Bombyx mori: one gene and its partner. The protein of the gene in region 2 interacts with the protein of the main gene of each other region in a biochemical or structural test. Links are inferred from orthologs where the notes say so. Each region holds a gene or a part of one and is shown on either strand. Other genes may lie near its edges. The genes, in order: H/ACA ribonucleoprotein complex subunit 4 and protein SHQ1 homolog.

Region 1 (15,825 bases), on a different chromosome or scaffold from region 2:
GTGGCGCATTTATATTGTAGATGTCTATGGGCTCCAGTAACCACTTAACACCAGGTGGGCTGTGGGCTCGTCCACAAACCTAAGCAATAAAAAAAAAAATTGCTTAATTTTTTTATTCTTTCCTATGCTGATAGCCTTGAGAGGCTATATCAGCTTCCCCCTAACGTGTAGTGAGCTCACGGGGCTCAAACCGGAGTGCTGCTAACACTGGCCCTAGCAAGAGCAGTGCTACGCAGAATCTACCACCGGATCGGAAACACGACAGGCTGAGAAGATCCGGCGAGAAACTCAGTGGGCTGTGTCTATGGGTTAATTTGCTCGTCGAGCCCTTCATCGCAAGCGACGGGTTCGACACATTGATAAAAAGGACTCCAATATGTAGGTATAGAACTGAACATATTTTGAAAATTTGTCATCAAATGGACAAATAAAAAAGTAAAATAGACCTTATCACAACTATGCCTAAAGACTTTTTTTACTATGTCACCTAGGAATGTATCCTCTATAATCCGATATATATAAATTACCATTCCATATTCACGGTTTCTGAAGAGCTTTCACTGTACACTCAATTGCATTAAATACAACAATTATTAGTCCAACAATGATTACTTTGCAGTAGTTCCAATGGAATACTTTTCCACTGATATCAGCCAGACTACTTCAGGGACAAGAATATATTTAATTTTTGATACAGGAGCATAAATAGTAACACAAACAGTATATCATTGTTTTTGCTTAACTAAACATAACCTTAACTAAACGTAACCCAGTTGAGTTTGCGTTAAATTTGTAATTGAGAACTAATTAATCATTTGGCAGCTATTTCAAATTAGGAGTTGCTTTTAGTCCTATTGGCTATCTGTAGATTTTCATATCTGGTGGGTACATCAAATCACAAATCGAACACTGTATTCTCATACTAAGGGATGAAATTTGCCAGTGTTCAAATCGCATAGGTAAGTATGAATGGTAGGCAATGAAATATCACAAATGGATAAATTTTGTGAGTTTTTAAATTGATCACAAATGGCCATAGTACACCGGGAGAGTGGGCAGCTCTGTTCGGTTTTCTGATATCCTGCTAAAGGTCACAGGAATCTGCTGGATGCAGGCTCCACAGGACCAGCCATTGAGGTGAGTCATGGGAAAGGTCTGTGTTCTGACGTTTGTGGGCTGACGATGATGACGAAACCCACAAAATTTATGATTTATTTGATTCCAGGTGGTGGTGGTACCTCATATTGTAGGAAGGTGCCACTCTGCCTATGTACAAAACTCATAATACTGTTAAATTGGTTTATATAGACTTTATAACCACATAGATATTACAAGTGTTCATCATCATCACCATCACCATCATCATTAGCCCAAGGCGTCCCCTGCTGGGCATGGGCGTCTCCCAATCCACACCACTGAGCCGTTTTCGGCTCTCATCCACTTCAACATCAAATTGAGGAGCTAATGTGACAGGTAGCTTCATTATAAGGAAAGATTTCCACTGAGGACATGATTTTGCTCGGTAGTTCGACGTTCCGAATATGATCGTTAGGAAATTGTATAATTGCTAACTGCATCTGTAAAATATCTTCTGTTGTACGATACCTGCCGCTACAACACCTTTATGTTAGAACTAACCTGTATACTTTTCCGGACATGACATATTCGAAACTATCTGCTCGATTTCCTTCGGTTTCCAGAGGGTTCCATTCTCCGCCGTCAGGGTATCCGTTTTCCCTCAACGTCGTGGCCAAAACTAGACGAAACTTTTCGCCTAGTTGCATTGGATATATCCAAGAATTAATGTCCAATATTAAATCCATTTTGAATGACTCCGATTCGCAATGCAATCGGCTGACTCTGTCGAACTTTTTGCCCTCCGGATCCATGTCTTTGACGTTGAAAATGTCCTCGAATAGCACGCCCGCCATGATCAAGTTTTATCCTGTGAATTTATTTTACTAAAACAATATCAACAACGGACAGTATGAGAAAGAAGCACGCTGACTCTGTTGCTGTTTGAAATTTTACGGCACTAAAAATACTATATAGGTCTATGTAAAAAAAACATTGATAATAAATGTCAATGTCAAGTGTGACTTTTTTTTGAAGTATAGGTACTGAATATTTGGATACTTTGACGGAATATCTCACACTGAAAAAAAGAATCCCATTTTACCTATATTATATATTTGGACTACTTAGATTTGTTTTTACTAGTTAGTTCCTATTTAAAGTGAGAGTGAAAGAAGTTGATAAGGATTTGGTGGAAGGACAAGATGTTAAATAGTTTTTATTTTTTTGGGTCTACCATAATCTCTGTTGGACTTTAAGCAAATTCCCAACTATGAAATTGATGGATTTCTGTTGGACGGTTAAGATTTTGAGGGGATTGGGTTCTGTCTTTAAATTATTCCATTGTACGTTCCTTGTCGATAATAATATAGTTTTTTGTTACAAAAATTCGGCGGCATAGTTTTAGTTCTCTTTGCCTATCTAATGATAAATAGGCCAAGACAATGTACGAAATTTAGGAGTTGAATAAATGTATATTTCGGTCTACGTTTAAGTTCCATTTTCTCTTTAATATTTTTAGTGTAAGTAGTGACTACGATATTTCGTGGCATTTTTTGGAAATCGTTTTTGTTTTTAAGTGTCAAAAACTAACAAAATATTATTAAAATTATCAATAATAAACGAAAAAGTATAAAACTTCAGTCCAATAAAAATATTACATGTTTATGTTCTGCTTTAAGGTTAAAAAAATTAACAAGTATCCGAATTATTTTCTGTTTTAATGTTGGCACAACGAGCTTTGCACGTTGGCGCCATCTGACCATAATCATACGCAAACAAATCTGAAGCTAACCTCAACCGAATCGCACGTGCTATATGGCCGAGCATTGTGTTATATTTTCAAAGTTCTTTCAATAAACAGTGCCCGATTATAGGGCATTGTTTACCCAAGTGATTGCGTCGATCGCCTAAAATTAAGAGTAAGAAAAGATACGTGTTAATTCATCAAAATGACGGAGGTACTGCAGCCCGGTAACGACACACTTTCAGAGAAGAAAAAGAAAAAAAACAAGGATGGTGTTTCGTTGGGAGCTTTTCAGACAATTGGCGACTTCAAAATCGAACCTTCGGAGAGCGTGAAGAAGCTGGACACCGCTTACTGGCCTTTGTTGTTGAAAAACTTCGATCGCTTAAATGTGCGCACTAACCATTACACGCCGCTACCATTCGGCAACTCGCCTTTAAAACGCCCCATCTCTGATTACGTCAAATCTGGCTTCATCAACGTCGACAAACCGAGCAACCCCAGCTCCCACGAAGTAGTTTCATGGATAAAACGTATTTTAAAAGTCGAAAAGACTGGTCATTCGGGCACGCTCGATCCGAAAGTTACGGGTTGCCTTATCGTTTGCATAGACCGCGCCACGAGACTCGTCAAATCACAACAGAACGCTGGCAAAGAGTATGTAGCCGTTTTCAACTTGCATTCAGCCGTAGAGAATATTCAAAAAGTCACACAGGGCTTGGAGAAGCTGCGTGGAGCTCTATTCCAGAGGCCCCCGCTTATATCGGCCGTGAAGCGACAACTGCGTGTCAGGACGGTGTACGACAGTAAACTCCTGGATTTCGACCAGGACAAGAATATTGGGGTGTTCTGGGTTAGTTGCGAGGCTGGATCGTATATCCGGACGATGTGTGTGCATTTAGGTCTGATGCTTGGCGTCGGAGGTCAGATGATCGAACTCAGACGAGTACGGTCCGGCATTCAGGGCGAGAAGGAAGGCATGGTCACGATGCACGACATCCTAGATGCACAATGGTCGTATGAAAACCACAAAGACGAGACTTATCTTCGTCGAGTAATCAAACCTCTGGAAGGCCTCCTGATTGCTCACAAAAGGATATTTATCAAAGACAGCGCTGTTAATGCTGTTTGCTACGGAGCCAAAGTGCTGTTACCAGGTATTTTAAGATACGAAGACGGCATCGAAGTTGACCAAGAAATCGTAATAGTCACCACTAAAGGTGAGGCAGTAGCGTTGGCCGTTGCTCTGATGACCACGTCTACGATGGCCTCATGCGATCATGGTGTAGCCGCGAAACTCAAGCGTGTCATAATGGAACGAGACACGTACCCCAGAAAATGGGGTCTCGGACCGAAAGCCTCACAGAAAAAAATCCTCATACAACAAGGGAAACTTGACAAATATGGCAAACCAAATGAGAACACACCAAAAGAATGGTTAAACAGTTACGTCAACTATAATGTTAAGAAAGAACCGGAGAATGGTGACGGTGTCGAGGAAGGCAGCAGAAAGCGAACGGCAAGCACAGCTAACGCAGAAGATCCCGATGTCTCCATAGAGGTGAAGCAGGAAAAGAAGAAGAAGAAGAAAAAGAGAGATAGTGAAGCCCCGTAAGTACTGGTTCTTTGCATTTTGATTATTTGTAGTGGAATTCAGACAATTATCGTGTCTGGTTTCAAGGATTTGTTATTACAAACTAAGTGAGAATTTTTTTTTTATTGCTTAGATATGGTTGGCCGAGCTCACAGCCCACCTGGTGTTAAGTGGTTACTGGAGCCCATAGACATCCACAACGTAAATGCGCCATCCACCTTGAGATATAAGTTCTAAGGTCTCAATATACAACGGCTGCCCTGCCTCTCAAACCGAAATGCATTACTGCTTCACGGCAGAAATAGGCAGGGTGCTGGTACCTATCTGTGCAGACTTACAAGAGGTCCTACTACCAGTAATTACGCAAATTATAATAAATGATGTCTGGATAGTGAGAATTACTGTGGCAGTACTATGCTTTATTTTTATGTGTTTATTTATTTGGGAAACAGTCCAAAACAAACAATATGTTACAAATAGGCAAACAAACAAACTCCACACAGTGTCCACTGTCAACATCAGATATGATTGTAGAAAGAACAATGAAAAAAGAAATTTATAAAATTAAGATTACAAAAAAACAACACAATGTTCACATTCACATGATTCATCTTCTCGCATTAAAACTGTATAATCTCAAAACTTACTAATTTTACAGGAGAGTGTTAGACATGTGCTATTTTTAATATTAATCATCTTTGCAGAAAAAATGTTACATTATCTGTCTTTTAAAGTAAGATAAAATTATGTATTAATTTTGATAATAGTAGTCAAAATATAGGTAAACTAAAGAAAAAAAACGAAACTATGCTCTTTTGACAGTATTTATGAGAAAAATACTGGTGATACCGAATGATTCCGTAATTAACTCAATTTCGAATATTTTTGGAAATTGTACACTTCTAATGCGAAAAGACGATATATATTTTAAACCTTACTAATACACATTGGAGCTAATGCCTCTCAAAAATATTCCAAAATTACATTTCTATATGCTACAAGTGATAAACGAAATATGCTATAAGATCTGGATGAACTTTTTCTTTTATTGCATATGTGGGTGCTGGAAAATTCATTAAAAACTATTTCTGTCTGTCCTCAAGCTTTCCCTTCTAGTCATATGCAGAACAAATATACTTGTTTGTACGATTACAAAGCCCTAGCTTATTGTGCTTTATTTATACACATTTCTACACAATCTATTCAATTTCTTCATAATTCCAGTGCCGAAGCAGACGCCACTATGGACACATCGGAGTCACCAGAGACAGCAGAACAACCAGCAGATGATTCTGTGCGCAAAGAGAAGAAAAAGAAAAAGAAGAAAGATAAACAAGAGGTTGATGAATGAATTTGATGTTGCAAAACAAACAGTTTGTAGATTTTAAACTGAGTTACGTTTAGATTTGAAAGACAACATTGTACAGCTTATATTAAGAAATTGCGTTTTTTGAATTCGACATACATTTATCAGTGATACAATAATCGGATATATAAATGTAAAAAGTTGGAGATTTCATATTGAATTAACAGAAACAAGATTAATGAAATAAGTATTATATTCGTAGCAGAAGGTATTTTCACAAAATTAAATGTAATTAATCTAATTTGTAATTAGAGAAAAAAAATTCCCACCATCTCTTATCAATAATATGTATGGAAATTTAAAAACAAAACTGCTATGTTAAGTATATCAAATTTATTGGTAAAATGGTACCCTTTATTGGAAAAATTTTGAAAACTAAACACAAAACTGGATTATTCAAAAAGTATCTAAAGTGAACATTTAATAACAAGGCAAGTTTAGGCAACTAGGAAAAATACTGATTACCTTCAAATTTAATTAAATTTCAATATGGCTGCTTTTCACGAGGGCCTTGACCTTGTCTCTCAGCTGATTCTGACAATTTGGTTACATTGTGTGTTGTCAAGAAACTTCAATAATAGTAATTTTAATTTTGAATATTAACTTCAAATCAAACTAAACTTTATGTTTTATTTTACTGAAATAGTTTCTTTACACACTAAGAATATTAAGTGTAATTACGAAGTAACATGTACCCATAAATATGTCATAAGAAATGGACATGGTATTAATTGAGAATGGTTCTCTTTTAAGCGTAAAAAATATAAGTAAATTCAAATTTTGATGTAGTTCCGTTTGGAATGGACAAATGTCTATGGCGTTTACAATATTTTAACTTTAGCAATATGTTACATTGTGATTTAGCACGTAAACTACTTAAAAAATACTGTTTTTTGAAGTTATACTTTTTAAGGCGCGTTATGAAAAATTGATGAGAGTGAAATTTTACGATGCGCGCGCACCGTGACACAAAATTAACAGAATGAAGTTGTCCACTAAATCGCTCATTACAATACAACCGACGTAACTTGGCGAGTCTGAATATAGCCGCAGGTGAACTTTCCGAACCGTACCGAGAATTACCGAATTTATACGATGTCAAGAAAAGGGATGTCAAATATGCGTGTTTGAGGATGTTGTTTAATCGATTTTTTTCAAATTGATTAAAATTTAAATAAAAAAAAAAAAATAAATTTAATAAAAATAAAGTAAATCTTCTTACGCGCGTACATAAGTACACGCACCCTTTTATATGTCTAATCTATTGTGTCAAAGAGAGTCTTAAACATTGTCAAAGAATATATGAGTCGTCTATTATCAAAGGTGGCAATCATTTGGACAAAAATTTTTTATTGATATGTCAATACAGATTGATTTGAATATAATCGTCTCCTTCAAAGAATACGGTTCAAAACCTGCATTAAATAAAGGTTAATAGTTAACCTATTATTATCTAAGATGTCGTTCCGAAGAGTTTTGTGACTGCCAATGGAATACAAAGTCAATAATTCGTTTTTCTGATTTACCAATCATTGTCCAAAAGTCAGATTGCCGGCTTTGATAATAGTCGACTCATATATTCTAATCCACATTTAATTGAGTAGTTAGTAATCTTTGACACTATTGTTGTGTTACAGATCCAATTTGATAATCCTATGCGTGTTCTAGCCACACACAACTCGACAAAATCTTTTGTGATTTTTTTTATATGAATATGCATTACATAAATAGAGTATGCATGTATAATAATAACTCCCAACTGCTCCAGACTCTCTTTTAACCGAGCTGAAATCATTTGCCTCAAAAAAAAAGGTTAGTCATTTCCGTTCTAAAACTCCAATCCATAAAATTGCAGAACTCAATGCTCAAATTGCTAAAGTTAAAATTTTGTAATTTGTCGTCGTTTATTAAAACATTGTACATTGTTAAGATAGTTTATAAGATTAGTTCATAAGTGGTACGAATGAATAATGAGGAATGATGTTTTTTTTTTTCAAAATAAAAGTCCCTAACAACTCTTTTGTATTTTTTAGTGCTTAAACTTAGATTCAGAAACAAAAACCTCAAAATACATATAGAAAATTATTGAACGATAAAACAATTTAAATTAATAGGAAAACTGGCATCTTTCAATGCAGTTCTTGTCCATGTCTAATAACCAATTTTTGAATTATTTTGATAATTTAATACATTTTCTTGATAATCTATCCTTTATGTTGCCATAAATTCAGTCTATTTGCCAAGCAATAGATCGTAATGGCTAGGCCATGTTTGGCGATAGGATAGTCTGTGGTGTTTTTGTCCCAATAAAAAAATAACTTAACATTGCATTTATGATACGGGTGTAAATATATTTTATTATTTTTCAATAATAATAAGCCTTTCCCAACAATAAAGGCACAATGGTAGATATAATAGTTTTTATAAGTATATATTATATACATAAATCTATGCGACTGTATTTAGTTAAGATTTATAAAAATAAAATTAGATTATAGGTTATACGCGGGTTTGCGTGTAAAATCTATTTTGCAAAATTCTGATCGCTTCGCATGCCGACAATTTTTTAATTAGGTGTCGTAAGCTTAAAACTAAAATAAAATGCACTATATTTTATATAATTATATTGTTCCTTTGTTTTAGAATTAGTTTTTTTTTTAATCATTTTGAGCTGGTGAAATTTAGATTAGAATTTTAAATGTCATTGACGTATTTAAGTCTTTGATTGAAAATGCTTACCCCTCGTAGAATATGTAACACTAACTAATCTAACCATAGATGAGACATATTATTATATAGACAGCATAACACTGGTGGAAGATAAAACGTATTTACGACTTTGCGTCTCACTCAGTCGTTCGTGACCTTGGAAGTAGTAAAGAAAAGAAAGATAAGATAAATAAAATTACTTTACGGCTCATTCAAACGCCTGTGACCACAAAAACTGAAGAAAAAAACCCCGGAAATACCTAATTTAAAATGACAATAAAAAACAAGAGGTTAAACCGTGAAGTTGTATTAAAAAAAGCATTTAAGCTTAAGTTCAAGTGAAGTTCTAAAAGTCTAAATATAAATTTTAAATCCAATATAAATCCAATTATTTGAGGGTTTGAGACCTCTTGGAGTCAATAAGGTATTTAGTTTTGTCAGATGGTAAGTAAAATATCATCTTGAGTTTATATTTGTAAGTACGTAATGGAAGAAGATTTTTGTGACATTGAAATAAACTATTTTTAAGGAAAAATTTGTTTTATTCTGGGATTTGATTTGACAAGTATTTTTTAAAGATAGTTTATGACTACGCCAGTCTGTACAGACGGTATATACAGGGTGTCCCGTAAATTAACTATTTACAACTAATCTGGATATTACACCAGTCCCTCACATGCGCACGAATACGCAAACCCACAAGTGTAGGACGACATTTGCGAATGATTATGCAAAGTTTTCGCTGCATTCGTGGTTTTCCAAGCTGTGTCGTTTTTTTAACAGACATCAAAGCGCGCGAACCTCGAACCTTCGCGTAGCCTCCCACACATTCGCTTGCCCAGTTGCGCCGACGATTGCGAAGGTGACGGACGTATACTATACGCCATTTTCATAGTTCGTGACGTCTACTGTGTAGCGTATCTTCATCAAAAGAAATCCCATAAAAACAGCATGGCTGTTAATGATATCTGGTAAATAGTTAAAAACTCTTTTTCTCTTCAATGTTCTATTGACGAATTAAAAAGAAGGAGAAATTCGTGAGACATTCATAAACAAGTGTAGGAGGAAGCGCAAACGGGTTCGCAAATTGAGTATGCGAACCCATTTGCACAGCCGCTAGGTTTGCGAATGAATGTTTCACGGCCCTTCACATGCGCGCAAGCATTCGTACAATGTACGAATATTTGCGCGCATGTCAGTGGCCGGCATTAATTTTGAACAGTGATGGGCAAAAAGTAATCAGATTAATAATTACAAATTACAGTTACATTGTAATTGGTAATTGAGATACTTTGTAACAGGTTACTTAAGTAACTGATTACAGCGAGTACTTATTGTAATCAGTTATAAAGTAATTCAATTATAAGTTAACCTAATTACATTAACTGTAACAGATTACTTATGTATTTGAAACAAATTACTTATAATTACTGATAATTGATCACATAACTATTCTGTTATGTTTTGTTAGGTAACCTTACAAAAAATGTCCTACTAATAACTTTTATGACAAACGCAAAAATGAAACACATTTATATACTTTTTTTTATAATCTTTTATCATTTTACGTTATTTTTTTTAAATTAATCATTGGCAGATTAAATTAAACAACATTATTTTGCTGATTTATAATTTAAATTACTTTTAATAGGACTCTTTTTTCAAACATTTCGTCTGACAGGTGGTTGGTTGGCTTTCGGAAAATTAATGATAGTAGCGTACGAAAACAAAAAAAAGTCGAAAAGAAAAAGCAGTCGTCCCCCACTCCGCACACCTTCCTTTCTAGTTCACTATGAAGTGAGCCTTACCTATTTATTTTTATTGAAGTACATAAAACCTACCTATCTAAAAAATCGATGTATGATATATATAAATATGTGTTTTTATTACAAGTGTTATATTCAAAGTAATTACGATTTACGATGTAATTGATTACTATGTAATTAGGTTAGATTGTAATTTAGTTATATTGCAATTAAATACATTGTATTCAATTACTTTCACATCCAAAGTAATTCTAATTACAATGTAATTGATTACTATATAATCAGATTACATTGTAATTAAATTATTTTGTAGTTTAATTACTAATTAGATTAAAAAAGTAACTAGTTACGCCCATCACTGATTTTGAAGTCGTAGGGTTGTCAATAAAATATTTTTTTGTTTAGATTTTCCTATCAAATTTTGTACTGGGCCAACGAATATCAAAAGGGGAATCTATATATGTATTATTGTGTATGGCTTAAAATTATCGGATAAATAAATGAATTATTATAATTTTTAATAAAAAAAAAAACTTTGTATAATGTTATCAATTAGTAGATAATAGAAATATCAGCTTACCTCTTAGAGAAACAAGGTCAGAAACGGTGAAATTTTCTTTTAAATGATGATTATCATTAGTCGTTGCACTGCTCTATAGAGATTCCCCGCCATGAGAAACCTCATAATGGACCGCTTAAATAAACTATTGAACAGAGGCATCACTGAATCAAATTTCCCCAAACAAGCTATTGAACAGAGGCCTCACTGAATCACATGTCCCCAAACAAACTATTGAACAGAAGCATCACTGAATCAGATGTCCCCAAACAAGCTATTGAACAGAGGCCTCACTGAATCACATGTCCCCAAACAAACTATGGAACAGAAGCATCACTGAATCGCATGTCCCCAAGCAAGTTATTGGACAGAAGTATCACTGAATCACATGTCCCCAAATAAACAACCGGACAGAAGCATCACTGAATCACATGTCCCCAAACAAACTATTGAACAGAGGCATCACTGAATCACTTGTCCCCAAACAAACGATTGAACAGAAGCATCACTGAATCACTTGTCCCCAAACAAACTATTGAACAGAAGCATCACTGAATCACATGTCCCCAAACAAACTATTGAACAGAAGCATCACTGAACCATATGTCCCCAAACAAACTATTGAACAGAGGCATCACTGAATCAGATATCCCCAAACAAGCTATTGAACAGAGGCCTCACTGAATCACTTGTCCCCAAACAAACTATTGAACAGAAGCATCACTGAATCACATGTCCCCAAACAAACTATTGAACAGAGGCATCACTGAATCACATGTCCCCAAACAAACTATTGAACAGAGGCATCACTGAATCACTTGTCCCCAAACAAACTATTGAACAGAGGCATCACTGAATCAGATATCCCCAAACAAGCTATTGAACAGAGGCCTCACTGAATCACTTGTCCCCAAACAAACTATTGAACAGAAGCATCACTGAATCACATGTCCCCAAACAAACTATTGAACAGAAGCATCACTGAATCACATGTCCCCAAACAAGCTATAGGACAGAAGCATCACTGAATCGCATATCTCCAAGCAAGTTATTGGACAGAAGTATCACTGAATCACATGTCCCCAAACAAACAATTGGACAGAAGCATCACTGAATTGCATGTCCCCAAAACAGGCTATTGGACAGAGGCATCACTGAATCACATGTCCCCAAACAAGCTATTGGACAGAAGCATCACTGAATCGCATGTCCCCAAATAAGCTATTGGACAGAAGCATCACCGAATTGTATGTACCCAAACAAACTATTGATCAGAAGCAGCACTGAATGATGATGGCCAAGGTTTTGAGTTTTGAATGCAGTATTATAGTCCTTGAAAAATATAAAACCTTGGTATACGACCATAAATGAGGTAGTTATAAGCAATTTAGTGCCGCTGCTGCGCTACTTTCGTTTACTGTGGAACAATTCATTAGTGAAGTACTGAGTAGACCAGTAGAAATATGGATGTCAAAACATCCACATCATAAATATAGGCATGTTATAAAACAACAATTTTCTGGCAGTATTGGTTTCATAGATACTCTTGGATAGGATATTTGAAATAAAATTTGAAAGGACAATGCCCAAAAGTGGGCTAACTTTATGTTTAAACTTTTTGTACTTGAAAAACTATGCCTTATTTTTTCACGTTGTTTAGTTTATGTATCAACATTTCTTTCACCCTGGCATTGTTTTACAAAAAAATAAATTACTTATTTGATAACACCCCAAAACTGAGTGCCATAGTTTTTAAATTCGCCAATAGGCAAAGGGCTTAGCCCGTGCAGCCTTATAGTAAAACTATATGCTGCCAAACGAAAGAGTTGCTTTAACTTGAACAACAAATAATAAAAAATTGCTAATGGTTATAATTCACAGACTTTTTAGTTTATTTTTGATCAATTCAATATTTATATATTGTAATAATAATTATTACTTTATATAATTATTTTTAGATATTAATGATTCCATTAGTAAAAATCTCAATGGCCTACCATTACTCTATTCTTATTATATATGATCAGAGAGTTTTGGCAGCAACCCGAGTGAAGCGTCACTTGAAGTTTTATTTTAATGTTTTTTTAATAGTTTATTGTGATGTTTAATATATAAATTGGGTGTTGTTTTATGTATTAAACGTCAATAATCGTTGTTCACGATTATTGAGGCATTGGAATAAGACTGTGGCTAACATAGCAGTGACTGTTTTTTTTCAAGATAGAAGGTCTGCGGAAATTCACGCTCACTCAATGTGCTATTCATCGAGTTGACGTCAAAACTCCCAAAATGCAATAAAAAGAGATACACCGGGTTTTTATTGACATTAAAAAAATATAGGCTGTATAAGCTACGCTCTTTGCCTAATTATTGGCGAATTTAAAAACAACAACAACAATATCGTTGCCGGCTTCCGGATTTTCATTTTATCTTAATTTTATTATTATTATTATTATGATAAAATAATAATAAAATGTACGTAAGGGCTTATTTCTAGCAACGTTAACCACAATTAACTTATTTAATACTGTAAATAATGATGAGAGCGATTATTGATTTCGAAGAAAACAATTAACAACTTAATTTTAGCTGCAGAAAAAAACAGATTTCTCTTAAACCTGAGTGAGAATATAAAAATCGTTTTCTGAATATGAAACGATATTTCTTTGTCTATCAAATTAAGTTAAAACCATCATTGCGCGACAACTTTTTTTAGCGGCCCAAACGCCCATAGAAAATGGGCATTGTCCTTTGAATTGATTTCGTATTCTAGATGCTTGAACCGTTGCTTGATTATTCCGTCTTGATCTGCGTACGATATTGTGAATATTGGAGTCTACAAACTGGGAAATAAACTGCTGAAAATCTGCATCTCTGTCTCAATCTCTTTCTCTTATAATATTGTGTAACAGGCACGCCTTTATAATCAACGTCGCGTGCTTTTTGTTTGCCTTTAAGCTTTTCGTAAAAATACGAAATGTATTAGTTAGAATACCAAACGCGTACTGAATTGTGACTCTTGCCCGGGATAATCTTTTGTCGAAAATGATTTATTCCGCATTTAAACCACCCGGTGGATAAGGGCGCATCAAATATTTTTTAAGCCAATTAACCAATTAACACGTATGGTAAATTGAGATTTGAACCTGGTAATTTCTGTGAATGTTGAACCTATTTTCTATTAATAATCTACTTATCGGGATAGTTCTTATATTCCTAATAAATAGTGTGGAATTCGCCAAGTTCTCTCCTTTTCTAACTGGGTGCGCTCCTATTCTTGATTGAATAATATCTTCAGCCAGCGAACGCACTTAATTCAAGGTAAAATCGTACCACTTTTGATAGGGACATTTGATAGGGCTCCCTAAATACGTGCACCTCTGACGCCGCCGCCGTTTAAGTGTATAATCTATGGCCGCCGTCGCTAATAGTTTAGCTAAACCCCAAAGTAATGAACATTTTCCAAATAAGATATGACCTAAAGGTCTCTGTCACCAGGTCATAAAATTAAAAAAAAAAAAAAAAAAATAGTTTAGCTAAGGCAATACCCCCGCAAATCACACCGCTCGCTGCGTCTCGCAACGCACCGCAAAACGCACTGCCGGCAGCTGTGGCCAGGCCCTTAGTCGACCGTAGATGCGCCACCGCGCGGCCTTGTTTACGTTTGGTATAATGGTAATGTTGCGTATAATATTATAACAATTTCGAATAAATATTGTTTAGTGCCAAAATGCACAAACACGATGAAAAATACTTCAAATAAATAATTTTCCTCCAAATAAAAAACATCATAATCGAAAACTAAGCCTACGAGTAGTAAGTACACTTTCCCAATGGAAGCACATCACAGCAAAACGAAATCCAAGCTTTAGCAATACTGAATTAGATTCAAGCTTCTCAGACTCAGACAAGCCCTCAAATATAAGTTCCTATACTTTTAGCGTTCGTACCGATGATATTGAGTCAAATAACGTTGAATTTAAAAAAGCGATGGAACGAATTTTAATAAATTTGAATTAAAAATAATGTAAGAAAAAATGATTTTATTGTAAAAAAGCGTGGAGTGCTTTTCAGGATATATCAAAATAACCCTTTTACTCTTAACTGTTCATAAAATATTTATAACTTTTTTTTTTATGATGCAAAGATTACTGGTGGCCCGGAGGCCTTTCCAGCTTCACCAAGACAGGTGGGCGAGCAAATGCTCAGCCAGGAGGGGTGGGATTTACTAACAACTGCCCGAGCGCCTCCGAAGGAGACCTTTTTTTTTTTTTTTTTTTTCCTGGTAGAGGGCCGAACCTCCTACGAGGTCCCCGCGCAAAAGGGGCGCGCGGGGTATGTGAAGGAGACCTAACAACTCAAGGGCAATTGCTTCGCGAATGAATCTACTACCGGATCGGGATCGCGACCCACTGAGAAGATCCGGCGAGAAACTCAGCGGGTTGATGCATGGGTTAGGTTGCACGTCGACCTCTTTGTCGAGTTCGACGAGTACGGTTACCGGGGCTCCTCAGCCTGCTCCTAGTGCTAGAGCTGAAGGTATCTAATGCAAGAGTTATTGGATCTGATGGATCCGTAAGCACGTGTCTAGGGCGACGACGGTGACTTGCTCTTGCGTGATCAGGATTCGGGGAGCAATCAGCGGCGGCAACGATAAGGCGATTATCATGACGCATAGCCTTATCGAAGTAACGTTCCGACACTGACTTCATGTGTTTGCGGATCGATTCGAGGCTCAGGTCGTCGTGTAAGTCGACGTTCCTCACGAACCACGGAGCTCCGACGGCTAACCTGCAAAAGCGGGATTGTAGGGACTGGAGGGTGTCTATGTGTGTGCGGGCCGCGTGAGCGAACACCGCACTCGCGTAAGTCATGACGGGCCTTATGCAAGTTTTGTAAAGTGTCACCTTGTTCCGAAGGGACATTTTACTACGCTTACAGATCATGAGATAGAGTCTGCCGAGAATAAATGCGGCACGGTCACAGACTGTTTTTATATGCGGGCGGAAT
Region 2 (17,736 bases):
CGGTTTGAAGGGTGGGGCAGCCATTGTAACTATACTGAGTTCTTAGAACTCCTATCTCCAGGTGGATGGCGGCATTTACGTTGTAGATGTCTATGGGCTCCGGTGACCACTTAACACCTGATGGGTCGTGAGCTCGTCCACCCGTTTAAGCACTAATTAATCAAAACAAAAAACCTTCATACGTTTCTTGATTTCTATTCCAGAAAGAGATCAGGCGTTCTGCCAAGAGTACAGAGTAGTCGTTTTGTAGACATCATTTAACATCTTGGCATCTCTAAATATTGGTTGTTGCACGTGAACTTTTGAAATTTTTATTTCGGAACTAGCTGACCCGGCAAACTTCGTAGTGCCTCAATCGATAAATAAAAGACCTAAGCTTTTGTATAAAAAAAAACTTAAAACAAACAAAAGGAATCTGTCCGACGGGGCACAAATCAAAGGAAAAACAAAATTGTTATTTTTATTTAATTCCGAGAATGTTCATATTTATGTACCTTTTAAACCTTCTCTGGACTTCCACAAATAATTCAAGACCAAAATTAGCCAAATCGGTCCAGCCGTTCTCGAGTGTTAGCGATACTAACGAACAGCAATTCATTTATATATATATAGATTTTATTATATTTTTTTCTGTTTCAGTTATAACAGACCCTAAAGATGCACTTACTGTCGCTAATGCCTGTTTGCAGAAACACTTTGTTTACAGTTTCGGTTCGCGTTGGCTCGGAAACGGTCTTATAACTGGGTCAGGTATATAATTTTCAATATCTCCGTGCCTGATAATGATAACGCAGCATCAAATCTTTAGCAGTCTGGTAAACGTGCTACATTCTTTTCTACACAATGAGACCAGCAGACTAATAATAACCAGATACAGTTTAAAAATGGAAATAAAACCATTGTTCTTAATAGTTCTTATTGTGTTCACATTCAGTTGACATATCTAATGAATTTATTGATAGCTGAGCCACCCCTTTTGCCTTTTTCTCTTTTTTTTTGCTTTTCTTGTTTTTTGTATTTCATTTTATGATGTGAAAGGCAATAAATGATCTTTATTATTATTATTATTATTATTGTTTTAGGGGAAATTTGGAAACGTCACCGGAAACTTCTTAGTCCGTCCAATTCCCCCCAAATATTGAACACCTACCTTGGTATATTCAACGAAAACTCCAGACAGCTCGTCACCGATTTAGCTCCTATGGTGGGTGAAGGATTAAAGGATTTATCGTTTCATATCAGAAAAATGGCCATGAATACAATTTTCAGTAAGTTTTTGTTGCTTATAATTATTTGGATTACATTAATAAAAACCAATCACATTAGCAAATTTCGCTAGGAGAAGAACACAATTTTGGACCTTAAAACGTTATTCAAAACATCTCATTGGATTTTTTTTTAAAAACGTGCCTGATGCAAAAATCGAAGATTGACACATACGTCATTTTTGCACTTATAAAAGGTCTACCTTATGCAAATAGAAAGCTTTATCATATATTTTCATTAAGTCAGGAGCTTACTGGCTACCTAGTACATAGACTTCATAACTTAACTATCGCCAGGCATCTTCGAGACTGGATGGCTACGCTTACGTGAGGTCAAAAACTTAATACAATAGTATACTTGAGATCTTAGAACTGATACCTCAAGGTGGGTGGCGCATTTCCGTCGTAGATGTCTATGGGGTCCAGTAACCACTTAACACCAGGGCTGTGAGCTCGCCCACCCATCTAAGCAATAAAAAAAAAAGTAGTACATACATCAACAAATGGACATATTTCATGATTGTGTTAACAATAGCGGTGCTCCTGCTATGCTTTAGCTAACCTTTTGCCACCTAGCCCTCAGTGGCTTCGGTACTCACATAAAACTAGGTGGGTCGTGAGCTCGTCCACTAATCTAAGCAATAAATGAAAACCGATAATTTTAGGAACTGCATTCGGTGTCTATACCAATGAAGACGAAAACTTCACCAAAGCGTACATGTCAGCTGTAGACGAGATATTAACGATCATCACAAAACGCTTCACTCGAGTTTGGCTACAGATTGATTTTATATATAATTTGACGAGCATCAAAAAAAGGGAAGACGAACTGATTCGAATTGTCAATGAAATGTCGAATAAAGTGAGTCATTTACATTTTTCATAAGATTTAATTTAGAATCGCACCACAGCGAAGTACAGTTCATCCTTTCCATCTAGAACCACAGAGCTTTTTTGCGTCATACGATATTGGAAAAGAGCTCTTTATTAGGCAGTGGCTTGGTTGTGTCCCTGATATTACCAATGTTCACGAGTGACCCCGACACTAACAATAATAGGTGCTTTTAATTACCATAAGAATACATTATTAACAGGCCTTGTCAGTCGTAAAGCAGTCGCCCGTATTATTTTGAAGGTTTGCAAAAAGTGTTTACTGTGGAATGTGTAGTTACATAATTTGTTTATAATTTTTTGTGTATATTTTAATATTTTATTACTGTTATTTTTTATTTTTGACAGATTATTGCAAGAAAACGATCTGAGCTGGCATCAGGCGTAGCAGCGGCAAACGAAACAGGTCAAGAAATAATATCATCATCATCAGTATCCTATTTTTTATTTGTGTTAGTTTTTTTAGTTTGCGATTGACTTGTAACTGTTCTATATGTAACTTTATTAGTACTACTGCCGCTGTGGTTCACACTTCAGAGACATGGAACCTGTTTTTGTTATAGAGCATTCTACATCTGACGTAGTCCTAGTTAAAAAAAAACGGTCTTTTTCACACAATTAGCGTCACAGCGGCCGGTTTCCGCTGGTTTGATTTAATGTGTTTATTTTTATTGGTCATTAGAGCTCACCGTTCACATGGTATTAAATGGTTTTTCTACAATTAAACATTAGAAAAACTGTATTGGAATAACAGCTATCCATTCTATCACAGTGGAATTTCAGACTATGCACGATGGAGGCATGTAGGATCAATGCTAAAGTTGGGATACATATTCAATCAACCTGTTATTAACTGATCACCAGGATTATAAGTACCATCATGGAAATCTTCTACCATCTTGAATGGTGGGGTCGAAATCAAATATATTGACATGACACCTACGAACCAGGATGGATGATGCTTTGCGTCAAAAGTAGGCAGGATGATACTACCCGCATATGCGTGCTCAAAATATTCTCTACCACCAGTAAACGTTCGTTGGCGAGACGGGTAAATTACTCAGAGAACGCTGTCAATAACTATTACAATTCTCCGGTCCCTTAGTCGTTTGTCACCATGTCTCTATGTAAAAAGGTGGATCCATTCTAAGTCAGCATAGTTTAAGTTCGCCGACTACATCATAACGAAGTAATTTTACACAAAACCATTTGTTTCATGTTTTTTTTTAATCGATTGCAGATAATAAATATCAAGGTCTGTTGGATCTTATGTTGAAATTAGCTAAAGAAGACGCTCTAACAGACCAGGAAATCAGAGAGGAAGTTGACACAGCAATTATGGCTGGTTTCGACACTTCCTCGTGGATCCTGGTTTATGTACTTGTAAATTTGGGATCGTTTCCAGAAGTTCAAGACAGGGCTTACAACGAGTGAGTAACTAGTAACTAGTAACTAACTAAGAGATGATAAAACCATTTTTTTCGACATTTTTGTATCACATCACCTAAGTTTTTTTTTTTTATAGCTTAAATGAGTGGACGAGCTCACGGCCTACCTGGTGTTAAGTGGTGACCGGAGCCCATAGACATCTACAACGTAAATGCCGCCACCTACCTTGAGATATGAGTTCTAAGGTCTCAATTTTAACAGTACAACGGCTCCCCCGCCCTTCAAACCGAAACACATTACTGGTTCAAGGCAGAAATAGACAGGGTGGTGGTACCTACCCGTACGGACTCACAAGACTTCCTACCAACAGTAAAGAATTAAATCTATTAATGAATTAAATACACACCATATGAGAATTAGAGTTGAAGCGAAATTAAATTAAACACTAACGTTGCAGCATTCAAGCGTAGTAAGTAAAATTAAAACAAATTTAAAAAATACACAAAGACATTCCAATAATTTTTTTAATATTGTGCGACAAAATTATTATTGCTTTTTTATAGTCGTGGCAGAGGATTAAGATTAGTCACTAGACGTTTATTAAGTATATGCCGGTACTAATTTCCACGGTGGCGACTCTAATAATCATATCTAAGCCGGAGAAGACTTCAATAATTATGCAATAATACACAACATTAAATTTTCATAATTTGTGATAAATTATAAATGTTTAACCGTTTTAATGCGGCAAAAGATGAACTAAATCTCTTATTGTATTGAGACTTTTGGCTTTGTCGGACAATTTTTAATATAAAATCTTGTTAATGAAATCCAAAGGTACTAACTTATAACAAAATACATAGTAAGATAATGTGGCGTGTAATTGGTATTACATCACGTAGGTATGCGGATGGAAAATGGTTTAAAGCTATGAGATGCGATCCGCAGACGGTAGCCAAATTTTGGCGGCGCATTGGAGTTCTAATAACACAGCTTGAATCAGAAAACAAAACTCTTTACTCACCTGATGTTCTCGAACTCTTCTTCAGCGATAAGATTCCTTAATTGCTTATGAGCGGTGAACGGACGCGAACACTTCACAATATTACAATAATTGAAAGTTTTGATAGGATGGGATAGCGGTGAAAAAACGAGTTTTATTTAGTTTATTTTTTTAATGTTGCGCGTTGCAAATAAGCGGGAATGCGAATGGCGGGTGCGCTAGTTCCAAATTTAATGTAATGTTCTTTGGTAATCCATTTCTTGAAAATATTACGCCTTCAAGGAGGATTCATTGCGTCCCAAAGAGGCGGAATCACAAACTTGTAAACTCTAAATGCATAACTATATTAAAGATAAAACAGTGCTCATCCACAGCCGTCTTATTTGAATCGAAGTTTAAATAAAAATAAAAATTCAAAGATTATGTTCGACTCCATAAAATCTATTTCTAGTAATAATATCACATTTAAACGAGAATGACAGGCTCTAAACTGAATTCAATTCATTCATTAATATAATTCTTTTGTAACATATTTTACTGCCAGAATTTTTTATACATTATGTTAATCAGTGAATAGCTAATTTTTGCACTCTTTTTACCTTTTTAATATTAAACACGCTAAACATTTGTTTTAGCTCTCTTTGTCATTAATATCTATGAAATCAAAATAATATTATACATTACATACATAATCCAAAAGACACATCATTGCTGTTAAAAAGCTGTTATTTTAGCTGTCAATCGCTGATATCATACGAATGTTCCAGGATCATGGATGTTTTTGGTGATTCAGACAGAGATCTAGAAAAAGAAGACTTATCTAAACTTGTTTACACTGAAGCGGTCCTGAAGGAAACCATGAGACTCTATACAATGGGACCGGTTAGTCTGAGACATATCGAGGAGGATGTCAAACTTAGTGAGTGCCTGAATAAATGTTTAATTTCAAGTATCTAGTCGAAAACCTTTCATGTTCTGCGACTGAACTGCCTTGTTGAACTGAGCACGGGTTTTTTTGGCGGGAACTCGAGGAGTGAAGTTGTGTGATTTGTTTTACTTTGTCTATTTAGTGTTTCTTGAAGTTAAATGTGTAATAACGGTAGTTTATGAACAATATAGTATTTGCGAAAGTGAACAAATGTGGGAAAATGAAATAAAGCCGTTGAACGTTACTTCTCGGGATCCTCCAAAAAGTCCACTGAAAAAGTCTTAGTAAATTACCACCATTTTACTGAGATTATTTTTCATACCATATCATCTCATCTCATTTCAGTTTATTTCGTTTTCATTTCATTTCGTTTCGTTCAAAAAACTGATTACTTGACGCTGGCTAATACACAAACCGTGCCGGAGCCGAAAAATAAAGAAGAAGAAGAAGACCTGACCATTTTAGATGGAGCTGGCATAGCCTCTCGAGACTACCAACATATAAAGGCAAAAAAAAGCACCAGTAGACCGCGGTGTGTGAGGTTTAGGGTCTGGCGAGAGAGACCCAAAGAGACGTAAGTGTAAGTTGTCACGCGTCTTAAGAAAGACAAACTGGTGACGGATGATCGCCTTCTTAAAATATCATCACTCCTTGCCCACGGGCTGTTGCTAGTTCACTAATTGAGACTAAATATGTGCCTATGAGATAGTTTTTTTTAAATCTTAATTGTATAAAAATACGAAATAATCTTATACTTTATTAAACGGTTTGTTTTAGAAAATTTTACACTTAAAGCTGGAACTGATTGCTCGATATCATTGTTTGGTATAAATCGCCACACAGTGTGGGGTGAAGACGTTAACGAATTCAAGCCTGAACGATGGTTGGATCCCCAGAAAATACCTGATAACGCCTTTGCGGCTTTCAGTATTGGCAAACGAAGTTGCACTGGTGAGTACCTATATTTGACTACATTATTTTGTATTGAAACATCAACACTTTATTTACTTAAGTCGTTATTCACGAAATGTTTATTATAGTAAATTTTAGTTTTATACCATTTTTTGTAGCAGTACCCAACATTTTTTGTCTATTCTTTTTTGTTTTTTTGGTTAATTTCTTGTTTAGACGGCTGAACGAGTTCACGGTCCAGCTGATCTTGAATGGTTACACGAGAGCCCATAGACTTCACCACGTAAACTGCCGCCACTCGACTAAAGCAATTATAGAAATTAATGGCTATACTACCCTTCAAGACGGGTTTGTGCTTCCGTGGCCGCTGAAGGCAGGGTGGTGTTATTCGCCGCTGCGAGCTCATAATATGCCCTACCACCAGTGTTTTACTGATAAGTAAGTAAGTCAAGGTGGGTGGCGCGTTAACGTTGTAGATGTCTATGGGCTCCAGTAACCACTTAACACCAGGTGGGCTGTGAGCTCGTCCACCCATATAAGCAATAAAAAAAAAGTCATAATTACTCATCGAGTACCTACTTTAGCTTAATTACTTGTTCCAATAGGCAGAGCGTACGCCTTGACGCTGATGAAAATAAATCTAGCGCACCTTCTACGGAAGTACAAAATCAGTGGTGATGTAAGCAAGTTAGATTTCAAGTTCAACTTTATCATAAAACCGATATCAGGAAGTGAAATTGGGCTGGAATACAGAAAATAATAATTTGATAAAGAAAAAAGATGGTGTGGGTTTATTTATTAAATTTAATATCAAAACCGATTTGTTGTAGTTTTATTTAAGTAAACTCTCTTATATTATGACCCTACAGACACAGGTCACTGAGTTTCTCGCCGGATCTTCTCAGTGGGTCGCGTTTCCGATCCGGTGGTAGATTCTGGGAACCACTGCTCTTACTAAGGCTAGTGTTAGCAACGTCCTCAGGTTAGAGCCCCGTGATCTCACCAGGCAGGTTACGCTGGCATAACCCTCTAACGTTACCAGCTTAGGAATATATATACATATTATATTAAATTTTGAAATCTCAATAGCTCTCCTGTAAAGTAGCAAAAATGCCCCTTAAACCAAATAGCTTTTCACCCCTCGATATACCTATACCATATTAAGATCAATCTAGAAATGTTTACGAGACAAAAACAATTACAACACGAAATGATGGGCCAACTACCTAAATGCTATCAGTGTCATTCGCGAAACAGCTACTCTTGAATTGTTAAGTCTCCTTTGGAGGCGCTCGGGTAGCTGGTAGCAAATCCCACTCTTCCTGGCTGAGCCCTTGCTCGCTCACCTGCCCTGGTAAAACTGGAAAGGCCTCTGGGCCACCAGTAATCTCTCAAACATAAAAAAGGTTAGGTACCTATCAGTTTTTAAGGAAAAAAATTTATTCATAATTGAGCATTATAACAATGTTATTTATTTAGCCTTGGTGTAGACAAGAAACATCGCAAAGACGGCCAATCGCAATCAAGGGACTCTAGTCGGCGTGGCAGGTTCTAATCTTTAGGTATATAAAATGGTTTATTATTAGGAGCCATAAATTACGTCACACGAATTTTAGCACTTTTTAACCTGTGTGTTTTAAATGTGAGGTCACATATTTTTCATATTTATGCTTGTACTTAATATTAGTGAAAAGAAAAGAAGTCGTCGTGGCCTAAGAGATAAGACGTCCCGTGAATTTGTGTTGAGCGATGCACCTGTGTTCGAATCCCAAGCGGGTACCAATTTTTCTAATGAATTACGTACCTACTCAACAAATGTTCACGATTGACTTCCACGGTGAAGGAATAACATCGTGTAATAAAAGTGAAACCCGCAAAATTATAATTTTCGTAATTGCTGGTGGTAGGACCTCTTGTGAGTCCGCGCGGGTAGGTACCACCGCCCTGCCTATTTCTGCCGTGAAACAGTAATGCGTTTCGGTTTGAAAGGTGGGGCAGCCGTTGTAACTACACTGAGATCTTAGAACTTATATCTCAAGGTGAGTGGCGCATTTACGTTGTAGATGTCCATGGGCTCCAGTAACCACTTAACACCAGGTGGGCTGTGAGCTTGTCTACCCATCTAAGCACTAAAAAAAAAGAGTTATTTTCGTTTTCTTCTTATTTTTATTAATTATTATTTAATCAAGTCAACATACCTTAGTCAAATATGTTAGATAACAGAGAAAGGAGCTGACTTTTTAGTAAGTTTTTTAAATCTTAAATCGTCACGTAACACTTGTGACCCCCGGCCCTATGTCACACAATATCACATTCTGTTGATAACCTGCCCCATAACGTGTGACGTAATTTATGGATGACGTGATCTGGAGTGATGTCAAGGAGCAAGCTCAAGACAGGGTCAAGTGGAGACGCAAGCTCAAGACAGGGTCAAGTGGAGACAACTTGTGAGGGCCCTATGTACCAGCAGGGTGCCCTAGGACTACAACAACAACAACAACAACAACAATCTGTTATGGCTATAACTGCCATAAAAACTAGAAACTAACAAAAAGAAAACTAGTAAAATAAATGTGATATTTTATAAACAGTTATTTATTTCACGAAAATGTCAATACATAGATAATTTTGTTTATTAAAAATGTTCTCATTTCTCAACGATTTGGTTAATCAGTTTTTAATATGCTTACTTTAGACTACACTTTGCAGTCAGTAATCGATCATTGATTGCTAATCTAGACTTAGAGATACATGATTAATTTTCTTGAAAATTGAGAAGAAACTGAACACTACTATAGTTTTGCTTAACATAAATAATTGCCTTCTTTAAAAAATGGCAGTGTTACATTATAATAAAATTATTAAATTTCAAGTACCTATGCAGTTTGCAGGAGGCAGTGTGTAGACTCTACAGCCATGCCTATCTTTGCCACAGAATAATAGTGGCTAGGACATTCTATCACTTCAAATCAGGTGGGCTGTGCATTTGTGCACACAACTTTCAAAATAACATTGAAAGTATTGGTTATCAAATGTCTGAAACTCTGCCATAGGTTAAATAGAATTTAATGATGAATTAATATATAATTAAATTTTTTAATTATTATAGAATCTTTCAAACCTTTAAACCAGCCCTTTATTCTCTTGACACTAAACTATTCAGTCTTTCTAACATATTCAAATATCTTAAAATTTATAAAATAAATTCATTAATTGATTGCATGAACCAAATTAAGTGCAATCAAAACATGCAAATTCACACTAATTAGTGTCTTTCGAGAATTGAATTATTTACACTCCTCTTGTTTTTCATGGATCATCATCAGAATCTAGGCCTTCATCAGAGGAATCTTCAGAAGAACTATCATCACTTGAGTCCGTTGAGCTGTCAGTGTCATCATCACTCTCATCAAGGTATGGAGCAATATTCTTTTTCAGTCCCGGTAGTAAAGACATGGAAGCCATTTGGACGGCCATCTCATTCTCCATGATTTCAGTTTCTTCCTGTTTAACCATTTCAGCAGCCATTTCCAATTCATCTAACTCTAAGTTCAAATCTTTTTTACAGAGCTCAATATTAGCTATATTATTGCATATTTCCATGATTTCCTCATTACGACATTTTTGTAAGAACACCAAATAGTCTTTGATATAAAGCTGGTTTAAGATATAACGTGCATCATTACTAGTGTTGAACATTTGATGTACTTCAATCATACATTTTATTACCAATTTCTTGCCTTTACGTAATAGTGATACTAGATCATTCTTTACTTTGTTACACAGCTCATAGTTCCTAAATATCGGATAAGTGAGTGCTCTCCTGTAGCATGCAATCAAAACATGTCTTGTATCTAAGAAAGTGCAGAACCAACTTAGTGTTGAAGAAAGCTTGTTTATGGTCCAGCTTGACTCCACTGTGCTTTCATTTAATGTTGTTCTTTTGTCGTAGCAATACCCAAACAAGATATCTATTAATCCGAGCATAATTTCTCTATACTCTTCTTTGCTTAGCAAATAATGCTTGTTTGGCAATTCTTTTAATATGGCTACTTCTTCATCTGTAAATTCTACTTCATTTTTGAAATCCCCTTTGTCCCAATAAGAAGTGGATGATAAGTAGGGTGCAAGAAGTTCATCATCAAAAAAGTCTGCTAGATAATGATCAGACGAGAATTTATCATTTTCATGTTTCATCCTCATAGAATTACGTTCGTCCACAGCAACATTTTCAGGTGCTTTTAATTCAAAAATTTGTGGAAATTCATTTCCGATGCTGCAAAATTCATTGGATATTTTATTAGCAAAGCCATATGTGAATTTTTCTAAGTTCTCACTGTCACTATCATTTTCCAGGGTAATTCCATCTTCTTCAAGCATTTCAACTAGATTAGGATTGACATCTGGTATATCACGAGGTGCTAGTAAATTTGTGATCATATCAAGGTTCTCAAAATGTTCCCCGGCAGTTTCTTTTTCAAATGTGAGATTGAAGTCTCCCGAATCACAAGTGTATGAACCTTTTGCCCGATCATCATCAACGATCCTGCCAGGTAATCGCAATCGAAGGAAGTAAGGACTAGACACAAAAAGGAAATTTTCGCCATCAACATCTATTTCTGTATCTCCAATGTTTGTATACGGTGCGTGAACTGTTACGAATATGTGGTTGTCGTCTTGCGTTAATTTAAAACGTGGAGTAAGCATGATGTATACTATTGATCTTCTAGTCAGGCACCAACTGCCTTTGTTTAGTATTAAAACTGATTGCGATGCAGTCAAACAATGGACTGATTCACAAAAAAGTAACAAGTTCGTTACTTCGGTACCGTGGACTTGATATATCTTAAGATTTAACCCTCATAAAATAATTAGGTAGAAGCTATTTCGTTAACAAACAATGAAACAACGCATGGTAATCCCCCTCCGGCATAACGGAAACATCCGTTTGACATTTGTCATTTACATTTGACATTTACACTAATCACTGAAGATGCGCGATACGTATCGACATTATCGAGTATCGATGTAGTGTTACGCGGTGCACGAAATTTTGTTTCGATAGAGTATCGAACAATGCTATAGCAATGCATATCGAATCCAACGTTGATTATATGATGATGCATAATCACCAGTTTTCAGAACTATTTAAACTTCACTATGATTATAACCGATACGTGAATATTTTAAGGTTGCATCAGAACGCTACGTCGACAAAGGGCCCGACTAACCCACTTATCGTAGTCACTGCCAGTTACTTTTACGATCCAGGTGACGGCGCAACTTATAGCCGCTGTCATTCCAAAGATGCCTTGTCGGATCGCCCGAATCCACTCCAGGTGCTTTCAGGCTCTTCAAGCAACGGTCACCGTTTTCATGAAACCTCAATTTCGACGAACAGTTCGACGACTGAACTAACCCATAGAAATATCCCATTGAGTTTCTCGCCGGATCTTCTCAGTGGGTCACGATTCCGATCTAGTACTATATTCTGCGAAGTGCTGCTCTTGCAGCACTAGTTTTATCTTGTTTTAACACTAGTGTTAGGTGTAAAATTCTCTTAGGTTGAGCCCATGAGCTCACCTACCCATCTGTACATAGCTATAATAGCCCTTTAAGCTGAAAGGACAATGCTTTAAAATGGTCGTATCGGTCTTTGAGACTAGTAGTAGGATCCAAGCTAAGAACATAATTATCGTCATTTATTAATTGACGCGACGTCGTTGCTTTTGGAATGCTTATTTTCTACAACAGAAAAAGGTAAACGGTCTCGATATTTAGTTTATTTTATTTTATAAGCACTATTTGTAAAAAGGAAAACATCGTCTTCATCAATAAAAATTGCCATTTTTGGCCATCTCTACTTAAAACCAGAGTATGTCAAACTTATTTTTATTTCTTTATTCACTCTTGATTATGCAAAGGAAACATAAGCTATAGATACCGTGCAGAGTTACATGAAATGAAATAACATCTCAGTAATTTGGTAGGAAATTATAAGAAGTTCAATGCAGTTGAATGAATTTGAAAGAACACTACAAACAGCGTTCCGTGATTTTGTTTCAAAATTGTGCATTTTCTTAAATACTAAACGTTTAATAAGAAACTAATATTACACGTTTACAAGATGCACCAAATAACATAACATAATCATAATAATAACAAAATAAAACAATTCAGATTATTTCCTCGAGTTCCTAGCTAGAATTCTTAATAGTTTTTCATTTTGTTGAAAGTAAAGTACATACTAAATGCAACATTTCAACTGCAATTGAAACATTTCAAGTATACTTTGCTACTGAAAGAAATATACGTAAGGTTGAAACCAAAATGAAAGTAACAATTAAACTGGAATGAAACGAAATTAATTTTATCAACTTCTTGGCAAGACTCAAAAATAAAATCACTATATAAATAGAAATATGTACTATGTTTGAGCCTCTTAACCTTTTTATAATTCTAATACTTTGAGTCCACATTGTATGCTTTCGTCAAAAAAGAAACCAATATTGACTTCCTGATCAATTTATCACAGCAAGTGGGTCACGATGTCCTAATCCATAATACTTATTCTTTGCATATACGATTAAGGCAATTAGGAATGATAGTTCGCTTGAATGCTAAAATAAATTAATACCTACAATGTCGTTGTTTTTTTGAGAATTTGGATAAAAATATACATATTACTATTTCATAGCACTTTTATCTGAGCAAGGTCACATAAATGTTACTTAAATTGTATTGTAAAATGATTTTTTTTTATGGGTGGACGAGCTCACAGCCCACCTGGTGTTACGTGGTTACTGGACCCCATAGATATCTACGACGTAAAAGCGCCACCCAACTTGAGATATCAGTTCTAAGGTCTCAAGTATAGTTACAACGGCTGCCCCACCCTTCAAACCGAAACGCATTACTGCTTCACGGCAGAAATAAGCAGGTTAGTGGTATCTACCCGCGCGGATTCACAAGAAGGCCTACCACCAGTAACAACAGTACACAGTTGTAAAATATTTGAATTACTGCCACTATTATTTTTGTAGATAAAATTGATTGTCTTGATTTTAATTTCTGAATTTCCATGAACTTAGGTCAATAACCGGAATAAGCAAGTTTCAAATAGAACAAGCTGCTACAAAATGAAAATTAGGAGAACCGAAAATAAACAAGGAATCCCTTGTCGAAAAGTTTGTCTATTTTCAGAACACGTTAGTTTTTTTCTTAAATGAGTGCATGCGTGTGTGGGCGATCGCGTAGGACTTAAATTTAATCATAATCCACACACACGGTAACTTTCTACAATATAGAATCACGTTTACAGTTTACACCATTAAAGCATAGTACCTAGGGAGACAGTCAACTGAGTCAAGTAAAAGTGCTATTTAAATTAAGTGTGAGAGTATAATTTTAAAACATGCATTTAGGTTTTATTTAAATTATGTTTCCATGAATTTGCAGTTGCAAAATTTTCCCAAGTCAAATTTTAATGACATTGACAATTGACACAAGCATTGAGATTGAAGCAAAAAATTGCGAACCGTCTGTGCGTTTCTTACTAATTTTCTAATCAAAACAAACAAATAAAACTATTTTTAGATAAAGCAACTATTGTGGATATATAAAATATATTGGAAACCTTTCATATTTTTGTGTTTTATAAATGAATTAAAAGGTAATGCCCGGGGGACGCAAACGGTGGAATTTACATGGTAAGTCAAAATTCTAAACTCAAAATTTAGGAGTTTATTGTAGGGGCACAATAATTAAATTTAACAATGATTGATGAATTAAGAAAACTGATTATGATAGCGAAAATTCATCATTAACACATTTTTAGTTTTCCGATTGACCTTGTGAATATTCAAATTTAGTAAAAATCGGTAACTATTTTATGCATTTATTTATTTAATTTTATAGTGTGAATTTTGCAGCTTAATATTAAATTGTTGTAAATAAACATTTGAACCCTGACCCCCGCATATATTTGCTTATTATTTATGTGTGTTGTCAGTAGTAAGTTTCTTACTTTAGAAAGCTTAAATATCACATCATCCATCCATTAACATCTTATTCTAGTCCTGTTGGACATATACTATTACCAAGTCTTTTTATGCAACCTGATTCTGGGCCTCATTTATAGCCATTGCCTGCTATTCCATGTATATCATCATTCCACCTTGTTACTAGGCACTGTACACTACACTGTAAGTGCATAGAAGTCTCATTGTTAAATCCTTTGCAGTTGTCTAAGATTACCATGGTTCTTTGCTGTGGTGGCTGAGACTAGACATATGACTGCAAACTGCAAAGGGTGCAGCTGTTTTAGTGGTACAATGAAAACATGCCACATCTTGAGACAATTTTCTTTTAAATAAATGTTTCCTTTATTCTGTATAATTTACTTATATATACTTCAAATGTCATACATAAAGAATGTACCTTTAATACTGTTGAAGAACGATCTTGTTTCAGATGGACCTCAAGGGTCACTACGTCGACTTAGGAATCAGTTAGCTGAGGATGGTTGTGCTGAATCTCAAGTGGTACTGGCTAAACAGCTCTTGGAAGAAAAATGTGGTGAGTGTAAATAGTACAAGGTATAAGAGATTACACTAAACAAAACATTGCCAAATATCAAAATGTCTTAACATAAATGGAAAATCATTATCAAATAATATGACATATTATTGGCCTGGAATTCATTCTCACACTATAACTCCAAGCCAGGTCTACTGTTGCATAACTAAAATAGTTCAGAAGGAGGTCAATGAGGCTAGAGCATGAACACAAATTTTGGTCATCATCTCTATTTATATATGTATATACATAATATCTATAGTGGGATCCTCTATTCAGATTGAGCTAATAAAACTGTTGATTGTTTCACACAAACTTGATTTGGATTCCATCTTTATTATAGCAAAATAAATAAAATATACATATCCTTCGTCTTCCGAGTAACAACATGTCTTCCATTCCATCGAGTAACTACCCTCAGTCCTTCTCTAGCTTAAAATAAAACGATATCTAAAACATCCATTCGCAGTCTTTCTTAGCTTTTAACAGGGCATCTCCTATCTCTCTCAGTCAGTCATACTCCATATCTCTTATTATCCATCTTACATACATATATAGTAATAATCCATATGTAATTAGCTGTTCTATGATTATTATAATTGTAATAATAAAATAAAAGAATAAAAAATAAATCTGAAAACAAAGTGAATAATTTAGACAAAAATATGGATAAAGTTAGTTCTAACGGCCGTCTGGTGTAGTGGTAAATGACATGGTCACTACACAAGGGGGTCGCGGGTTCGAATCCCGCCAAGGGAACATATTTGTATGATAAATATAAATGTCTTTTCCAGGGTTGTGGATGTATATTAAATATAATGTATGTGTATAATAAAAATCTTACATTTATATCCGTTATCTGGTACCTGTAACACAAGTTCTTTACAAACTTATCACGGGACCAGTTAACGTGGCGTGATTGTTAGTAATTATTTATTTATTTATTTATTATTATTATTTATTTATTTATATTTTTTACAGCTATTTACAATTTAATCATAAAGCTATTCTGTTGAGTGTGTTATTAAAATGTACTAAATTTATTTGAAACACAAAAAAAAGAGATGTTAAAATGGTTTGGATTTAACCTGCAATATTGATGTAATCATCACGTATTGTATTTCCTCCAATTGCACAAAGATATTTGAACAGATGTAGACTGAAATGATTGCTTAATAATTCTTATTAAACTCAATGAAGTAGGTATAAAACTTTCGATTTGACATTGCTCTGAAGTGAAGTTATTTAAATTTTACGTAATTACTGGTGATAGGGCGTCGTGTTAGTCTACACGAGTAGGTCCCACCAGGTAGGTGCCACCCTGCCTGTATCTGCGGCGAAGCAGTAATGCGTTTCGGTTGAAGGCTGGGGCAGCCGTTGTACTGTAAAAATGGAGACCTTAGAACTCATGTCTCAAGGTGGGTGACGGCGCTTACGTTGTAGATGTCTATGGGCTCGAGTTACCACTTGACACCAGATGGGCCGTGAGCTCGTCCAACCATTAATAAATAAAGAAAGGCCTAAAAAAGGTCTAATAATGCGTCGCTAAACCAACTTTAAGCTTGTTCGAGTTGGTAAATAAAAATAAAATGTTTCAGAGCTTGAGGCTGACAAGATATCAAATTTCAAACAGGCTTTAGAATGGCTCATATGCGCAACGGAACAAGCACACCCGGAAGCAAGGAGGCTTTTAAGAAGGTTAGTATAAATTTTTTTTTGAAGGCTCCAAAAAAACTTTTGTTAATAAATTTTTTTATATTTTATTGAAGACTAGCGACCCGCCCTGGCTTCGCTTCGGTAACATTAAATTTTATAATTGAGCCCGAGTGAGTCGCGCGATGTCCCGCGACGTTACCCGCGGTTATTGTCGTATCGCGGGTGACGCTGCGGGGCGAAGCTAGTCTAAAAAAGTAGCCTGAGTTACTCCTTATGTTATTAGCTACCTACCAGTGAAAGTCCCGTCAAAATCGGTCCAGCCGTTCCAGAGATTGGTCGGAACAAACAGACAGACAGATAGACAGACAGACACACCAAAATTGTAAAAAATGTTATTTTGGTGTATGAACCGTATATATATTCATATGCATGTAGTAAAAAGAGGCTATTTCAATATTACAAACAGACACTCCAATTTTATTTATATGTATAGATTTGACGGTACTTAACACAATATTCAAATGTTGACAAGTAACACCCGAGTCGTCCATGAAATGCCCACGAGAACTGTAAATCAAATCAAATCAAATCAAATCAAATCAAATCAAAAAAGTTTTATTCAACATAAATGAAAGTACATACTTATTGAACGTCAAAAGAATTACCGCCAATTCACAAGAATTAGCCTCCGTCCTGAGAAGAATTGGCAAGAAACTCAGCGGGCATGTTTTTTTTTTTTTTAATATTAGATTTTTATTTTTATATTAAATATTTTTTTTTTTTAATATTCATATTACAATAAGTAATTATAACATAACAATTTTACAATATTGAAATTCCCGGAGCGAGCAACTCATTCCCACTTTGTGCAATCTTCTAGATAATCATTGACTTTATAGTAAGCTTTATTGCACAGATGTTCTTTAATAGTTTTCTTAAACCTATCTATATGTAGGTTCTGAACATCTTGTGGGATTTTGTTGTACAGGCGCACAGACAAACACCCGAATGAATTTCGTATCTTATGTAACCTACTCATCGGCACAACAAGCTTGTGTTTGTTCCTAGTATTTCTATTATGTATGTCCGACATCTTAGGAAACTCCTCAATATGT

The links.
Region 1: the proteins of protein SHQ1 homolog (region 2) and H/ACA ribonucleoprotein complex subunit 4 are reported together in a solved structure, tested with the Homo sapiens proteins (2 studies listed by BioGRID, with this or other methods). The link is inferred for Bombyx mori from reciprocal best matches to the Homo sapiens genes SHQ1 and DKC1.

Annotation. Positions count from the first base shown.
Region 1 is NC_085130.1:16,021,319-16,037,143, forward strand, and holds H/ACA ribonucleoprotein complex subunit 4, read left to right. Parts: upstream 1-2,788; 5' UTR 2,789-3,026; coding exon 3,027-4,432; intron 4,433-5,639; coding exon 5,640-5,766; 3' UTR 5,767-9,025; downstream 9,026-15,825. Other genes in the region: DNA-directed RNA polymerases I, II, and III subunit RPABC3, read right to left, coding at 1,639-1,931.
Region 2 is NC_085132.1:6,843,010-6,860,745, reverse strand, and holds protein SHQ1 homolog, read right to left. Parts: upstream 11,350-17,736; 5' UTR 11,096-11,349; coding exon 9,698-11,095; 3' UTR 8,966-9,697; downstream 1-8,965. Other genes in the region: uncharacterized protein LOC101744633, read left to right, coding at 640-750, 1,083-1,268, 1,931-2,127, 2,505-2,562, 3,397-3,586, 5,316-5,467, 6,254-6,427, 6,994-7,148; wolframin, read left to right, coding at 14,064-14,097, 14,861-14,965, 16,564-16,663. UniProt on the Homo sapiens protein: Required for the quantitative accumulation of H/ACA ribonucleoproteins (RNPs), including telomerase, probably through the stabilization of DKC1, from the time of its synthesis until its association with NOP10, NHP2, and NAF1 at the nascent H/ACA RNA.